2 linked regions of the Xenopus tropicalis genome follow. The protein of the gene in region 1 binds, or shares a complex with, the protein of each later gene. Links are inferred from orthologs where the notes say so. Each region holds a gene or a part of one and is shown on either strand. Other genes may lie near its edges.

What was found. The genes of interacting proteins can lie anywhere in the genome.
Region 2: sf3b5 (region 1) and ddx46 share a complex: the UniProt entries of both Homo sapiens proteins name them as parts of the 17S U2 SnRNP complex. The link is inferred for Xenopus tropicalis from reciprocal best matches to the Homo sapiens genes SF3B5 and DDX46.

What each region holds. Positions count from the first base shown.
Region 1 is NC_030681.2:58,017,397-58,019,819, reverse strand, and holds sf3b5 (splicing factor 3B subunit 5), read right to left. Parts: upstream 1,103-2,423; 5' UTR 1,101-1,102; coding exon 840-1,100; 3' UTR 525-839; downstream 1-524. UniProt on the Homo sapiens protein: Component of the 17S U2 SnRNP complex of the spliceosome, a large ribonucleoprotein complex that removes introns from transcribed pre-mRNAs.
Region 2 is NC_030679.2:26,177,852-26,181,513, reverse strand, and holds part of ddx46 (probable ATP-dependent RNA helicase DDX46), read left to right. Parts: coding exon 1-92; intron 93-853; coding exon 854-1,003; intron 1,004-1,969; coding exon 1,970-2,200; intron 2,201-3,662. UniProt on the Homo sapiens protein: Component of the 17S U2 SnRNP complex of the spliceosome, a large ribonucleoprotein complex that removes introns from transcribed pre-mRNAs.

The DNA.
Region 1 (2,423 bases):
TATTAAATGCCCTATTCCCAGCAACTTTGCAATTGATTTTCATATTTTTTTTTTTTTTAAATTACATGCTTTTCTCTTCTGCCTCTTTCCGTCTTTAAAATGGGGTCACTAACACTGCCAGACAAAAACCATTGATCTGTGTGGCAATGGTTGGTTTTTTTTCCCCTGTCTATGCAGGCTTTCTCCTATTCATATTCCAGTTCAAACCACTGCCTAGGGTAAATAATAGCAACCAGATAGATGTAAGAATATGAAAACTGAAAGCAACTCAACAAAAAGCTATATAAAAAAAAACAATTATGAAGCCTAATTGCAACTGACCCTAGGGTTGCTGGCTACTAAAAGCACCCTGACTACGTTTACCTTTTCCAGTTTTTTTTTTTTTTTTGGGTGGGGGGGGGGATGGGCAGCTAGATTCTCTTCAAGAACACCAAACATAGCACCCTGACAATAACATTTTACATACTTATTAATCTAATAAGTGAACCACAGTGAACAATTAAAAAACTAACAAGGGTATGTTGTACAAGGATTCAACAAGAGTTGATTGTTTTATTACAAGTGATAAGCAGTTGAAAGAAAAGCCTAGATTAGTCGTACAAGGATTTCGAAGAGACTTCAGGCAAATGCACAAACGTCCTCAAAGTACTTTATCACGGACTCCTGGAATTCAGAAACTCCATTTAGAATTAGCACAGTCCTGCTTTATGATACACGCCTGTTGATTAGGCGGGAATCTCTTGCTTAAGTCCCGGAAACTTTAAGACGAACGGCGATAAGTTTGATCGACTCCAAGAACTCCATAACAGGCAGCCTCAGAGAAGAAACCATCGCCACGCTTAAGAGTCGTCGGGCTTATCAGCTGGGGGCCCACACGGCTGCAGCATCTTCTCCATCAGGTTAAAACGTACCCGTGCTTTACTTTCGTTCTCAGCCACGGCAAAGTAATTGAGCAGATCAAAGTGGCCCATGTAGGAGCAGTAAGAGTCTCTGTGCTGGTTCACCAGCCACTCCCACTTAGTAGTATCCGCATGGCCCGTGCCGATATACTTGGACTGCAGATGCTCCAGTTGGCTGTGAATAGTATATCGGTCTGTCATGGCGATGGCAAGCGCTAACAGCAAGCTCACTGTACACGACTTGGTGTTATGATATGCAGCGGTAGCGCCTTTGGCTTCCGGAGGACAAAAGAAGTCAGCGTGTTACAGCAGCCGGAAGTTACGTTGCTTCCGGGAGTGACCAATATATCGACGCCGACTAAAATAAATAAAGTTTCGTAATTTTGTAGTGTTTTGCTCATTTTCGCTTCAGCGATTGGCCCGCCTATTTCAAGCGAAATCGAAACTCCCTGCATGCTCAGTTGTGGGACACAGGGAGAGAACAGGCGGAAAGCTGTATGGAAAAATATAAAGTGGTTGCAGTTGGGTCAATTCTATAGGAATAAACCATTTTTTGAATAGTAACCTCCGCAACATGTTAACACATGAAACAATACCCAGCGGCATATAGATTACTCGCCTTCCAACCTTTACCTTTAAAGTGATAATATCCGTGATTTTAGCACACAGTCTTGCGATTTATTAAAGTTATATAAAGGCAAGGGTTCAATGTCCCCTCTAATTTCTTCTCAGTTATGTACACAAAAAATATTTTGTGCGCACAGTTTTTAATTTTTTGCATTCAGCATGTGTTTGTAAATGCATACATTAAAGTGATGTTAGAGCCCTAAGGGAGCAACTAAGACACTACCCATTTTAGACATGTAAACTTTGGCAGTATAAGGGCATTTCTGGCACATAATAACTTGGAGAGGCTTTTCACAGGGTTAAACACCGAAGGGTTAAATTGACCTATCAGTATATTCCTCTTGTAACAAGCAAAGATCTATTAAAGAAAAATTATTTTTGCTTGAAAGAAAAAGTTAGAACTGAAGTAGGTAATAAATGTGCTTTAAAGTAATTCAAGCTTGTTGAATCATTTTAGGTCTGTTACACATGGGGGAAATTTGTGCGTTTGATCAAAGTAAGTTGTGCCTGCGTAAGGCAGCATTCTTCATTGCATGAACTTTGTAGTGCACATGAGCTGTTTGCAGATGTAAATGTCACTGATGATGTCAGAAGGAAAATGGCTGCCAGGTAAAAGACACTATTTGCTTTAGGGATATGTAATGGTGCTGACAAACACAGGGGATATATGCAGTACAAATGGAGTTGTTTGGGTGCCCAACTTATATATATATGGTAGGAAAATGTATGGTTTACATGTCCTTTAAATTGCACAAGTGGAAAGTAGGCAAGCAATATTGTTAACAAACTAAATAAAGTAATAAAATAAAAAAAAGAAAAAGGAAAGGAAAAGGAGAAAAAAAATTACCTTAAAATCTGAGGAAAATAGCTCAACAGTAAAGAGTTCTGCTAAAATTT
Region 2 (3,662 bases), on another chromosome or scaffold:
GTGATATTATCAAGGCTTTGGAGCTGTCTGGCACGGCAGTCCCTGCTGAACTTGAGCAACTGTGGAATGAATTTAAGGAACAACAGAAAGCGGTAAGATATTTACCCTTCCCCTATGCATTTGAATCCAGATGACTATGTACATGGGGGTAAAGTATTGTACACAGTTAAAGGGCCTGTTATCCAAAATAACTTTTAACAATAGGATTGTTTAAAATAAGGATTAATTATAATAGTTGATCAAGTACAAGGTATTGTTGTATTGCAGAGAAAAAGAAAATCCTTCTAGTAAGTAATTCACTTTAAAAATGAAATCTTGGGTGGCCGTACACGGAGTGGATCTTCTCCCAATATACCCACCTAAGGTGGGCGATATTGGGCTAATTCAATGGTTTGGTCCTAGGCGCCATCGGATCCCATCAATGAGCCAATGCGGCCCCTGATACGTAGGAAAATCAAACCTGCCCAATAGAAGGAGAATCTCAGAAGTGTGCAAGGCATTGTGGGAATTTGTATGGAGAGCCGGCTAAATTTTTTTCAGTTGTGTATAAAGTCAAATAGTAGTGCAGGTGGTAACAAGAGCAGTCAGATCCTGCTCAGTAGCAATAATATTCATAATTTACAATTATATTACAGTTAATTTTAATGTATATTACATAGTCGCTTAGAATAACATTTGTTTTATTACACCAAATGTTATATTTAGGATTACTTCCCCATCGATAGAAGTTTGAAACTTATGTTCTCCTTTTGCTCTGTGACGCAGCAAGAAAGTGCTGTTCACAACCCTGTCATGCTAGGACCCTTAACAGTTGAATCCTATACCTTTTATTCTAACTTTTATCTTTCTTTAGGAAGGAAAGATAATTAAGAAAACCAGCGGGTTCTCTGGTAAAGGCTTTAAATTTGATGAGACCGAACAGGCTTTGGCCAACGAGCGGAAAAAACTGCAGAAAGCAGCACTTGGCTTGCAGGATTCGGATGATGAAGATACAGCTCTTGATGTGAGTAATAAACATACAATCATGGTTATGTTCTCTTAGTAAAACCTGGAAAATATATTTGAAATTTTAAAAGGGATGTAAAGTCAAAATCTTAACTCCATGTTTAAATATAGCCCCAAGATAGGAAAGCACTATAACATGTTGTTCTAAATAAAATCAGATGGCAAAGCAGTTAAAACAGGGTTAAAACATAGCCAACTGGAGCTCTGTATTCCTTAATGTCTGCTGTGTAATGAAGAGTGGGCCTGTCTCACTCTCTGCTCATGTTTTACTTCCTTACCTGGGCCTGACCTGCGCTTATCAGCAAATGTACAATGACAATCCAGTAAACAATATCCTGTGCGTTTTTGTTCAAGTCTGGAATAGGACAGTCCCTGCTTTTTTTAATATCAGGATGGCCACTGGCCATGTAGGTTTGCAGGGGCTGTGAGCAGAGCTTATTTCAGAGGAATAACATAAGATGCAATATACAAAGGCTTCTAATTAAAAAAAAAGTTAGAGCATTTTAATGGGTTCATATTGCAAATTTACATCATTTGGTCTACTGTAAATAACACACACAAGGATTATGATTTTTGACTTCACATCCCCTTTAATATAGCAATGTGTAGCTCACAAGTGCCCTGGGCCATAAAGGCAGAAACAATAAATATCCGCTCAACTCAACTGACCTAAATGGGAACAAAGGTGTTAAGAGGCTCACTCAGGAGTGGTAACTCTTGCTACTGTAAAGATCTTATCACAAACTGGCAATCCCTATGAATTTACATTTCTTCTTCTTTAGAGACCTTTTGTACAGACCCTTTTTATAAAAGAGCTGACCCCGTTTTCTTTTTCTCATAGTATGACATTGCCACAGTTTGCCGTATTTGCAAGTAATCGTATTTGAAATTCAGTATGTACACTGTTTATCTGTTATGTGTTTATAGCATTTTGCATTAATTCAAAGTTTTATTTACCTTTTAGATTGATGAGCAGATTGAAAGCATGTTCAATTCGAAGAAGAGAGTAAAGGACATGGCGGGACCTGGTGGTGCGGCAGCAACCGGTGCCCCAGGAATGGTTGGTGGTGCTGTCGGAGCAGGCTCTTCAGCTAATGCAACATTACCCACTGCAGGCAATGCAGAGAAACTGGAGATTGCAAAGCGTTTGGCTAAGAAACTCAGCGTGAACAAGAATTTGGGAGCAGAAGCTCAGGTGTGTATATTTCCCTATAATTACAGGAAAGCCCACCTTAACTCAATTTTTTTTCTTTGACTTTGTCTAATGCAAATATTAAAGTACATGTAAAGCCTACATTTTGCTACAATGTATATATGTTGGGCACATCACCCCCACCCAAATGGCATCATATGTACTGCATATATCCCCTCTGTTTGCCAGCACCTTCACATTTTCCTCTGGCCATATTCCCTCTGACACATTATCACTTACATTTAAATCTGCTAACAGCATATGTGCACAAAAACCCCTGTTTATTGTACATATTATCAAGAATGCAGTCTCACACAGGCACACTGATAAAAAAAAAAAAGTTCTGCTTCGATTGAGCACTGTATTGGTTAAGCTGAGCTCAGGGGGGGAGGTTAGGAGAAAAAGAGGAATAGACAGCTAGAGGTGAGTTTCTATATATATATATATATATATATATATATATATATATATATATATATATATATATATATATATATATATATATATATATACAAGAACAGAGAGGAGCACACCCTCTGAGCAAAAAACAACTGCCCTCGGTGCTGGTCAAACAATTCAATAAACAAGCAGAGTACCGCACACAAAGGGACTTTATGAAAACAAAAAAGGTTTATTGGAAAAATCCGACGTTTCGAGCACTAAACTGTGCTCTTCCTCAGGGACAAACCTGAGGAAGAGCACAGTTTAGTGCTCGAAACGTCGGATTTTTCCAATAAACCTTTTTTGTTTTCATAAAGTCCCTTTGTGTGCGGTACTCTGCTTGTTTATATATTTATATATATATATATATATATATATATATATATATATATATATATATATATATATATATATATATAATATATATATATATATATATATATATATATATATATATATATATATATAATTTTTTTTTTTTTTTTTCCCCCTCATGGGTAGGCGGTGTTATATAACACACTAGGTGGTTTAGTGTTACTTAACCTGCAGCCTTCCTTATCACCTTCCATTGCCAAACTTCTAAAAAACCAACCTTCCATTGACTACCTTACAAGAAATCAACATGGGTAAAGAGGGTATTTATACAACAATGTACAGCCAGAAATGGCTAGTGATAAGTATTTTTAAGGTATAGCAGAGACAACTACCCTTGAAAATGATATACTGAATGGTCATTAATGCCAGGTTCTCCTGTTGATTTGTGCATTCCATTTGTGTAGTTATAGCAGTTTGGAGGAATGACTACAGCTTTGGTCATTTTTATAAATTTTAGAATGATCTCTAAGCTTTCAAATTGCAAGCTTTAATGCCCAAGGCCCTCTGTCTTCTGTAGCATTCATTGTTTGTATGTTTGCTGTATACGTCCTATTGTACATCACAGCAGGCTGAAGTGGTCTTTTAGAAATGTTTTAATAATAAAGTTAATAAGATGTTGTTGCATTTCATCACCAAATTAATTGTTCCA